2 linked regions of the Oryctolagus cuniculus genome follow. The protein of the gene in region 1 interacts with the protein of each later gene in a pairwise test. Links are inferred from orthologs where the notes say so. Each region holds a gene or a part of one and is shown on either strand. Other genes may lie near its edges.

What was found. The genes of interacting proteins can lie anywhere in the genome.
Region 2: the proteins of CTBP1 (region 1) and SNRPN interact in a two-hybrid assay, tested with the Homo sapiens proteins (2 studies listed by BioGRID and IntAct). The link is inferred for Oryctolagus cuniculus from reciprocal best matches to the Homo sapiens genes CTBP1 and SNRPN.

What each region holds. Positions count from the first base shown.
Region 1 is NC_091433.1:407,749-412,585, reverse strand, and holds part of CTBP1 (C-terminal-binding protein 1), read left to right. Parts: intron 1-1,742; coding exon 1,743-1,957; intron 1,958-2,768; coding exon 2,769-2,899; intron 2,900-3,176; coding exon 3,177-3,304; intron 3,305-3,924; coding exon 3,925-4,042; intron 4,043-4,837. UniProt on the Homo sapiens protein: Corepressor targeting diverse transcription regulators such as GLIS2 or BCL6. Has dehydrogenase activity. Involved in controlling the equilibrium between tubular and stacked structures in the Golgi complex.
Region 2 is NC_091443.1:13,809,480-13,815,725, reverse strand, and holds the start of SNRPN (small nuclear ribonucleoprotein-associated protein N), read right to left. Parts: upstream 3,532-6,246; 5' UTR 3,512-3,531; exon of another isoform or gene 3,486-3,511; intron 2,915-3,485; exon of another isoform or gene 2,879-2,914; intron 1,339-2,878; exon of another isoform or gene 1,267-1,338; intron 1-1,266. Other genes in the region: SNURF (SNRPN upstream reading frame protein), read right to left, coding at 3,532-3,637.

The sequences.
Region 1 (4,837 bases):
GCCCGCACAGCAGGGGCTTGGCTGGAGCCAGGACCAGCAGCTCCGTCCAGGCCCTGTAGGTGAAGGGCTCAGCGCTGGGGCCCTCTCCTGCCCCCACCCCCGCCCCCGCCCCCAGCACTGGCAGTGCCCTGCGCCCCGCCCCACCGGTCCTTTACCCATAGCTGCAGAGAAAGTTCTAGAACCATGGCTGGGGCTTCACGGGGGAGGCCTCTCCTGGCCGTGCCGTGTGCACTTTTCCAAATGTCTGAGACCCCACCCCTGCCCTGCTGTGGGGGCCCCAGGATTTCTTTCTTTCTTTCTTTTTTTTTTTTTTTTTTTTTAAGTTTTATGTATTTATTTGAAAGTCAGAGTTACACAGAGAGAGGAGAGGCAGAGAGAGAGAGAGAGGTCTTCCATCCGCTGGTTCACTCCCCAGATGACCTCAACAGCCGGAGCTGTGCCGATTCAAAGCTAGGAGCCAGGAGCTTCTTCCGGGTCTCCCACGTGGGTGCAGGGGCCCAAGGACTTGAGCCACCTTCCACTGCTTTCCCAGGCCATGGTAGGAGCTGGGTTGGAAGTGGAGCAGCCGGGACTGGAACCGGCGCCCATATGGAATGCCGGCCCTGCAGGCGGCAGTTTTACCCGCTCTGCCACAGCGCCAGCCCCCTGGGTATTTGTTACCATGCCCCAGACCCCTCAGCGGCTCCTGGGACCCTGGCCCACGTTTTGTGAGTTGGGGTCTCCACCCCCGTGCAGACGGCCCCTGCTTGCAACTCATCCTGGAGGTTGCTGCACCTGTGTGTCTGTGAGAGACGTGGGTTCCGGAACGCTCCTGCTCTGGGTGGCGCCTGTCCTGTCTGTTTTCTAGAATGTTCTCTACTATGCCTGCTCTTCCTGTGACCAGGACGTCGCCCGCCTCTCTGTGTCCTCTCGTTCCTCACGGGGGACCCTCCCAGGAGTCCCGTCCACACCCAAGGCGGTCCCCTGGCCGGCAGCCGGGCTAGGGCCCAAGCCGCCTGATGGCTTCCCTTCCGTCCGAGGCGTTGCTGGCCCGTGATCTGCATGGAGCGTGTTCTGAGCTTTGTGCCCTGGCCTCCGTCCCTCCAAGAGGGTGGCATGCGCCCACACCCTAGCCCTGCCCCGCTCGTCCCGTGTTGGGGCAGCTTCCCCTCCCGCCCGGGCTCCTGGAGCCCAGCCCGTGTCGTCCCTGGCAGCACAGCAGGCACGCGAGGAGCCAGCCTCCGCCCTGACCGCAGCCCAGCGCTCGGCTGCTCGCGTGGTGGGGCTGGGCAGCAGGTGGGTCCTGGCGGGGCCACAGCCGGCACCGGGGCTGGGGAAGCGCACCTGCCCGCCCTGCACCGCTTCTCAGGGCCAAGCTCAGAGCAGCGGCTCCCAGGTTGCCGTCTCCCCTGGTGGCGGCCGGAATTCAGATCCAGAGACACCGCTGAGCTGGACTTGAAGCCGGACCAGAGGTGTGGCCACGGTGCATGTGTGCACAGCATTGTGTGTGGTTCCAGGCATCTCGTGTCACCCCTGCAGAGGGGACAGAGCTGGCTGTGGGGCTGACTCTGGCCACAAGGACGTGGGGCTCATGGGGTGCAGACACGGGGCTCGCGGTGGTCATGCGGCACCCACCACGGTGTTCACGCGGTGTTCACGCGGCACCTGTCTCCGTGGCCATGTGACACGGCTCACACGGTGGTCGTGTTCTGGTCTCATGGTGACCACGTGGCATGTGTCTCATGTGGGGTCTCCACCCGCAGGCCGTGTGGGGCAGGCGGTGGCGCTGCGGGCCAAGGCGTTCGGCTTCAGCGTGCTGTTCTACGACCCGTACCTGCCGGACGGCGTGGAGCGGGCGCTGGGGCTGCAGCGCGTGGGCACCCTGCAGGACCTGCTGTTCCACAGCGACTGCGTGACCCTGCACTGCGGCCTCAACGAGCACAACCACCACCTCATCAACGACTTCACCGTGAAGCAGGTGCCGCCGGGCCTGTACACTGTCCACGGGGCGGCCCTGTCCCCTGTCCATGGGGCCTGTCCACTGTCCATGGGGGCCTGTGCGTGGGGCGGCCCTGTCCACTGTCCACGGGGCCTGTCCACTGTCCACGGGGCTGCCCTGTGCACGGGGCCTGTGCACGGGGCTGCCCTGTCCACGGGGGTCTCTGCCTGTGGCCCTGTCCATGGGGCCTGTGCACGGGGTGGCCCTGTCCACGGGGTCTGTCCATGGGGCCTGTCCACGGGGCCTGTGCACGGGACTGCCCTGTCCACAGGGGCCTCTGCCTGTGGCCCTGTCCATGGGGCGGTCCTGCGGGGGCAGCCAGGTGGCCTCCTGCAGCTCCAGGCCTTTGATGGTCACTTGTTTGCTTGCTGCAGGGGGTGGGGGTGCACACGGGTCCACACGTATGGTGGAAGGGGCCTGCCACACCCTCTCTCCCATGGTCAAAGGGTGGGGGGGTGGTTGGAGCTGTGACAGGGAAGTGGCACAGGCAGTGGCACTGGGACCCAGGGCCAGGAGGACCTCGGGGTGAGGGGGGGCAGTCAGACGCTGACCGCAAGACGGGGCAGCCGGCTCCAGGGCCGTCTGTGAAGGCAAGAACGGCCCTGCCCTGGCACGGAGCTCCACACAGCCCACCCTGGCCGGGTCTGGCTGCCGGCCGGGGCCTCGCGGTGCTGAACTCCCTCCCCAGGGGGCGCTGCAGCCGCGGCTGGGCGGGCCGGGGCCGGGGCCGGGCCTCTTCCCCAGTGGCCCGGGGCGCTGCCTGGTGCCAGCCTCCCTGTCCATCCCCCAGATGCGGCAGGGGGCCTTCCTGGTGAACACGGCGCGAGGCGGCCTGGTGGACGAGAAGGCCTTGGCCCAGGCCCTCAAGGAGGGCCGGATCCGCGGCGCGGCGCTGGACGTGCACGAGTCGGAGCCCTTCAGGTGCGGGCTGCCCGGCGTCGGGGCTCTGTCTGCGTGGGTGGGCACGCGAGCCTGTGGCTGCAGGCCAGGGGCCTCTTGCTGGTCAGTGCCCTTGAGTGGCATCTGGCCTGGCCTCAGGCAGTCCCGCCGTGCTTGGTTCGGGCCCGGCCTTGGCCTTCACCGGGCTGACCTTCCTGGCTCTCGCTGGCCTGGGTGCTTGTGGCAGGACCTGAGCTCACTGGGGGCAGTGTCCTGGCCGCGGGGCTGGGCTGCGCTGACCAGTCCTTTGCCACCCCAGCTTTAGCCAAGGCCCCCTGAAAGACGCACCCAACCTCATCTGCACCCCGCACGCCGCATGGTACAGCGAGCAGGCGTCCATCGAGATGCGGGAGGAAGCGGCCCGCGAGATCCGCCGCGCCATCACAGGTGGGCGCCTCTGCCCCGTGGTCCTCACGCCTGGGGGAGGGGGAGGGGAGGGCGCCTCTGCCCTGTGGTCCCCACGCCCGGGGGAGGGGGAGGGGAGGGCGCCTCTGCCCCGTGGTCCCCACGCCCGGGGGAGGGGGAGGGGAGGGCGCCTCTGCCCCGTGGTCCCCACGCCCGGGGGAGGGGGAGGGGAGGGCGCCTCTGCCCCGTGGTCCCCACGCCCGGGGGAGGGGGAGGGGAGGGCGCCTCTGCCCCGTGGTCCCCACGCCCGGGGGAGGGGGAGGGGAGGACGCCTCTGCCCCGTGGTCCTCATGCCTGGGGGGGGCGCCTCTGCCCCGTGGTCCCCACGCCCGGGGGAGGGGGAGGGGAGGGCGCCTCTGCCCCGTGGTCCTCACGCCTGGGGGAGGGGGAGGGGAGGGCGCCTCTGCCCCGTGGTCCTCACGTCCAGGGGAGGGGGAGGGGGGGTGCCTCTGCCCCATGGTCCCTGCACCAGGGCTGGGGGAGCCCCTGGCGGGGGGAGGGCGCCTCTGCCCCGTGGCCTCCATGCCCGGGGGAGGGGGAGGGCCACGTGTGGCAGGCCTGTTTCTGAGCTGGTACCGTGGCCCCTGGCTGCTGTGTGCCAGGCCGGATCCCAGACAGCCTGAAGAACTGTGTCAACAAGGACCACCTGACAGCTGCCACTCACTGGGCCAGCATGGACCCCGCCGTGGTGCACCCCGAGCTCAACGGGGCTGCGTACAGGTGAGCAGGCGCCTCCAGGGCGCTGGGGGTCCCAGGCAGGCGCCAGGTGGCTGGGGTCTGGGGCAAGGCCCGTGCAGTGGGGATCTGTTCCCCTGAGTGGCCCGTGGGAGCCCGGGCCTCCTGGATGGACGTCAGGACAGGGCGGGCTTAGGCCTGGGGGGCACGCGGGAGCGAGGACTGAGCAGGGGTCTGGGGTGCAGCGAGGACCTCATGGCTGAGTCACTGGGCAGGACTCCGTGCCCCTGCTCTGAGGAAGCCCCCACGGTGGGGGGTCTCCTGGGGAGAGCCCCTCCTCACCCCACATCCGTGCTGCAGCCTCAGTAAGCCTGCGGGGGCAGGTGGGGTGGGGCTGTGAGGGGGCGTGGCTTCCAGGGTGGGGTGGGTGTGGCTGCCAGGGTGAGTGGGGCTGTGAGGGTGGGCGGGGTGTGGCTGTGGGGGTGGCTGTGAGGGCGGGCGGGGTGGGGCTGTGAGGGGGCGTGGCTGCGAGGGCCGGGGGGGGGGTGGGGCTGTGGGGGCGTGGCTTCCAGGGTGGGGTGGGTGTGGCTGCCAGGGTGAGTGGGGCTGTGAGGGGGCGTGGCTGTGAGGGTGGGCGGGGTGTGGCTGTGGGGGTGGCTTCCAGGGCAGGCGGGGTGGGTGGGGCTGTGGGGGTGTGGCTTCCAGGGTGGGCGGGGTGTGGCTGTGGGGGTGGCTGTGAGGGCGGGCGGGGTGGGGCTGTGGGGGTGGCTGTGAGGGCGGGCGGGGTGGGGCTGTGGGGGTGGCTGAGGGCGGGCGGGGTGGGGCTGTGGGGGTGGCTGC
Region 2 (6,246 bases), on another chromosome or scaffold:
ATGGTACAAAGAGACACAAATTATATTATTTTTGAGTAGGAATTTGGAGTTAAATATAAAAATAGAATCATATTAAAAGCTAAATTCCACTAGGATTGTTCTTCACTGTTTCCAATAGATAAAATTTTGAAACAGCACATTAAATGTTAGGTATATTCTGAGTACTTCATGGTTTGAAAATAATCATTAAAATCATGACTATAAACTACATGAACACCAAAACAATAAAGTAAAATAAGTTTTGAGCACATATGGAATTTTATGCCAACATATAAAAGAACATAAAAATACGTGATAACTCTTTCCATAAAGTTCTAAGATGTTTAAGGGATGTTTCCTATAGTTCTAGAAGCTTAATTGCAGTAAGACATTCCATGAGATCTTGAGAGTTCTTAGATCTTAAGATCCAAGAAATCCCTAACAATTTTTCAGTATACCCAACAACCTACATTTTCCACATACAAGCTTTCATGCATTCTTTTTAAAGTTTATGGTAAACAATCTGCTTATTCCCTCAATATACTGTCTATACTGCTCTGTAAGACGACTGATAACAGATTATACTATCTATGTACCTACTTATATCTACAGAAATGGCATCAAGAATACTCCAGTGCCCAAGATCCAATGTTTGTACATGAGGTAACACATTATCTAAAATTCATGAGAAAATCACAGGCAACTATTCAAACAAGGAGACTGAACTACTACTTCAATCATGTGTAATCTCTGACCCAAAATAACATAATGAATAAGAGAAGTTTAAGCCTGTGAATAGATGTCCTGAACAATAAAGAATGGGAGAATATACAACTAATTTGAAAATATTCTTCCACAGAGCACGGCCAACTAAATACCACATACTTTCCTTCATTGGAAGTGTTTATTTAAAAACTAAGAGTTGTAAAGAGAAACTAACCACTTTTAAAGTTTGTATTAATTATTTGAGACAGAAAGACACAGAGAGCTCTCATAAATTGGAATCCAGGTCTCCTTTGTGGGTGGCAGGAACCCAATAACTCATGCCATCACCACTCTCTACTAGAGCTGTTTTAGTACTAAGCTGGAGTCAGGAGTCAGAGCTGTGAATCAAATCCAGGTACTCTGATACTGAACACAAATGTCCAAATACCTACCTCTAGTCTAGGAATGTTCACATCAATCAAGACTTCCTGTGATGCATTTAAAAATCATTCCAGGGGAAATCATCTGGCATAGTAGTTAAGATACCATTAGGATAACTGGATACCACATCATAGTACCTACATTGGTGTCCTGGCTTCACTCCATATTCCAGCATTCTGCAAACACTGTATCTTGTGGAGGCTCAAGTATTTGGGTACCTGCAACCTACATGGGAGACCCAGATTGAATTCCTGACTGCTGGTTTTGGCCTGTCCCACCCTGCCTGTTTCAGTTATTTAGGAAGTGAATCAGTGGATGAGATCTCTGTCCATTCGTTCATCTTTGTATTTCAAACCATAAATATTTTTAAAAAGAAAAAGATTCACTCTAATATTATACCCACACTTGGATACTTATCCTTTTGTACCAAGAAACAAAACTAGAGGTTCAATATCCCTTTTCCAAGATGCTTGGAATCAGACATATCTTGCATTTCAGATTATTTTATACGTGATTATTGGCATCTGCAAAATAATGTTTCATATACAACTTACCCACATAGCATACAGTCATTTTATATGGTACTTTCGTGCATGAAAAGAGTCATGGTGTTTGGAATTTTCCACCAGGGGTGTCAGTGCTCAAAAAATTTTGTATTATTTTCAGTTACAAGTTTGAGAATTAAGGATGCTCAATCTGTAATATTCATAAATTTACTTTCCAATTTTCCTGGCTATCACATTGTTCAGATGTTTATAATTAAAATAGGAAGGTATCAATTATTAAAGTACCCTTCAAGTGAAATCCATATGATTTCCAGACCCTTCTCTTACTGCAGAAATACCTAGTATTCTACATACTTCATATACAATCTTTCAATAATCCCTTTCTTCAGCACTTTGCTATACCCCTTGGCACCACCGTGGTGTTTTCAATTAATCTGTGTCTCTAAAATAATGATCAGTAGATGTTTTTATATAAAAGAACAAGATATTAAATATTTCATGCTATCCCTATCATCTGATCTGTCAAAAAATTGACACTGTAGTGTCATGTAGCCATGAGCCTTACATAGACATAGCTATAGATCAATAAAAATCTACAAAAATATGTAGTGGGACAGATACTAACTCCTACTCTAATGAAAGCCTAATAGCTATCACTGTTTAGGTGAAACTAGCAGTTGGACACAGAATAACATAGGATATGATTAAATATGAGAAAATGAAATGGTTCTACTGGCAGATGCTAATACGTAATTTAAATAACATACTTAGAAGTTTTCAAGAGTATTCTAACTCAACTGAGAAGCCAAAAAATGTCTAGACACAAAGAAAATCAACTGTGTGTGTGCCTACTCATTGAAAAATGCCCTGAGGGGCAATTTTCAGATTCCCTAGCTTATTTGCAACAAAGTTCATCTTGGAATGTTGGATATTGAGGATTCAACAGGGAGGAGTTCTCAGAAAATATGTCTTCTCAGATTTAAATTCAATATAGTAGCCATAAACAGTCCTAATTAATTCAAGTTGAGGGGCAACATTTCAAAAACAGAAATAAAAATCTAGTAGAGAATTCACCCATATACCCTTTCTGATTCTATTTTCTAAACAGTATATAGCAAATTCTCTGAAATAAGGGCATTCTATTTTTAAAACAGAAAAAAATGAAGTAAAAACAAGGTACTGAATCAATGTGAATAACTTTCTAGAAAATATAAATCAACATAAACAGTAAATAAATCTACATCACATTAAAAATTTATGGATAATCTTTATTGCATTGTCTGCTGATTCCAGTAAGAAATACATTGGTGAAAACAGAAAAGTGAGAAAAAAGACAAAACAATGAAAGAAGTAGTTAGTGAATAACCAAGGAAATATTTAGATTCTCTAATAATCTTGATAATGATGGTATATTCAATAAGTATAAATGATATTATAATTATAATAAGACTGGTAAGTGTATTTTAAATAGCACACTATTTTATGGCAATGAAAACTAATGTTACTTTACAAACTCTTGCAAAATAATTAAATCACTCACAAAGGAGAATTATAAAGCATTAACTAACAGTTTTTTTTTTTTATATATAAGGTAAAGTTGAAAATCAAATAGAACATAAATAAAACTATCCAAAAAGCACACACCACAAAGATTGGGACACAAAAACATTGTCATGGCAGGAACATTAAGGATTTTCTTTTACTCTTTTAAAATCTTTATGTAATTTGCTTTTTTATAAGAAGTATTTATTTTTAAAAAAAAAAGTCTTTTCAAGTGCCCAGATTACTAAATGAACACCAAACACCCTTTTTTTCAATGATTTATTTTCTCATCATTACTACATCAGCTCTAACCTGGTTTTTGCTTAGAAGTCAGCTACCTTGATATTCCAATACTGCTTTAACCACCTCTTGGTGTCTCGGCTAAGAATGCCTGTCTTAGTTCCGCCTGGAAATCCACCACAGGTACTTGCTGCTGTTGAGAACGTCTTGGGTACAACTGACACCTATGATAAGAGCATAGTATACATAAATGACAAAAATATTTATTAATATTAATCATATCAAAGAATACACAGACTCTTCTATTTATGACAATCTGCTTTAATGCTCAGAGAATGCCATTACTTTGTTAGGAAACTATAAAATAAAACAAAAGTCTCTGAACACAAGGATGTGCGAGGAAACAGTGAATACTTACCCAGTCTAGGAATATTTCCAAAGACCCAAAAGACCAAGAGTTGTTAGTTCTGCAGAAAAAGTATCAGCATCATGGCCACTCAATTTACAATCATCCTATGTGGAAACCATCTTTTCTCCCATAGGCTGGGTGAAGAATTTGGTAATGCATTTTCAAGGCAATCATCCATACTGATACTCCTAAAATATCACCACCCGAAAAAAAGCACCTCAAGGGTACAGCTTGTTGAAGAGCTCCAAAACTAGGTAAATCATACATCTATGAATAAGCAGGGCATTTTAAAGAAAAGACCTCAACATACCCCTGTGGATCAGTAACCTGATCCTGAACAGAAGAGATGTAGAAATTTAGTTTGTTATGCAACAAGACATGCCTAGGACACAGGAGGAGAAATCACCAACAATTATGCCCTTGTTGATAAAGGAAAAAAAGAGATAAGAGGAGGCTTCAAAAGTTTCATGGAATATTCACCCTAAGATTTGTTTGTTTATTTGAAAGGCAGAGCAACCAAGAGATGGAGAAAGGTGGAAAGAGATACAGATCGATCCCCGAAATGGCACCAACAGCCAGGTCTGGGCCAGGTTGAAGACAGGAGCCAGGAACACTATCCTAGTCTCACACATGGGTGGCAGAGAACCAAACTGTTGGGTCATCTTCTGCTACCTTCCCAGGCATATTAGCAGGAAGCTGGCTAGGAAAAAAAAAAAAAAAAAAGAGAAGCCAAGACTCAAACCAGCACTCTGATACAGAATGCTGCATGTGTCTAAGCAGCTGCTTAATCTGCTGAGCCAAAAGTCTGCTCCCCACAACAACTTTTAATTCCATTTTTCAACAAACTTTCTGAAGCTTCATCAGTAAACAAAAATATTCATTAGCAGTTGGATTTGGAAATGTGGACAGTGGTAAAAGATTTTCTACTTCATAGTTTTTCAACATTTTCATCACACTGTTGGATGAAGAGTTTAGCAGGCCATGGTCCCTAGTTCAGGGGAGGTAACTTCTAAATTCTAGAAATTTACCCCAAAGGGGGATTATCTTTTTATTCCAAGTGAATTCTTCAGATCACATCTGAGTTTATGCTACTCCGATGACTCAGGATGGTGCCCAGCCCTACCACAAAACACCAAGGTAAGAGGGTAGTGGTTATAATTCTGATATCTTAGTTGGGGGATGGTCAGTGGAAACTGAGCTCAATCACATTACCAAGGATTCAATCAATGTTGACTATAAAATGAAAATACAATGAAATCATTAATATATAAAAGTTCTGCTGGGCTTCCTCGTTGGTGCATCTTGGGAACAGGGAAGCTTTGAATTTGGGACCCTCCTAGGTCTTAACCCATGAGTATGTTCTTTTCAATCATTTTATAATAAAAATTTTACTTCTGTGAGTCATTTTAACAACTTAGAAAATCTGAAGGGGCAGCAGAATCTATTGCCAGTTGTCAAAAGTAGGGGTAGTCTGGGAACTGCAGAGCTTGTAGCTGATGTCTGAATTCAAAGGAGTCTAACAGAGAGATGATACAATCTACCTATGAAGTCTGCATTAAGTCTTGGTTAGTAATTAAGCCTTAGTATCTTAATTACATTCTACACACTGTTGGAATTTCCTATTCCAATCACTGAATAATGGAATCTTAATTTGGCCATTCTCTATTCTGATTTCTGTTACCAAATGGCAACCAAGTCTCTTATCTAATGAAGTCCTATAAAGTGTTTCAGAAAGAAAAAAAAATTCAGCTTCTTAAAACCTATGGGGCCAGAGCCGTGGCTCACTTGGCTGATCCTCTGTCTGCAGCGCCAGCATCCCATATGGGTGCTGGGTTCTAGTCCCAGTTGCTCCTCTTCCAGTCCAGCTCTCTGCTATGGCCCAGGAGGGCAGTGGAGGATGGCCCAGGCGCTTGGGCCCCTGCACCCACATGGGAGACCAGGAAGAAGCTCCTGTATCCTGGCTTCAGATTAGCGTAGCGCCGGCCACAGTGGCCATTTGGGGGGAACCAATGGAAGAAAGACCTTTCTTTCTGTCTCTCACTGTCTAACTCTGTCAAATAAATTAAAAAAAAAAAAAAAAAACTAAAGAGAATTTCCTATTGCATTAACCCTTTGAGTTTAATTGTAACTCAACAAAAGACTAAACATAAGAAAGTAATGTTATTCAATACCAAAGAACAGGAACAGATTTGGTGGTATATCTACTAAGGACAGAATAATCATCGATATTCTAAATGAGAAGAAGGGGGAAAATGAACTTTTATTATGTCCATGTTAATCTGTGGAATATTCTGTTTACATGTTATATTGGCTTTTACTTGTTTTTGGATTTTTTGGAAGGACTACTAATGATAACCTTTTATTGGTCTCTAGGGCAGATACTTTCACAATGCCTCCAGGAAGACTGATAAGCAATACTTATAG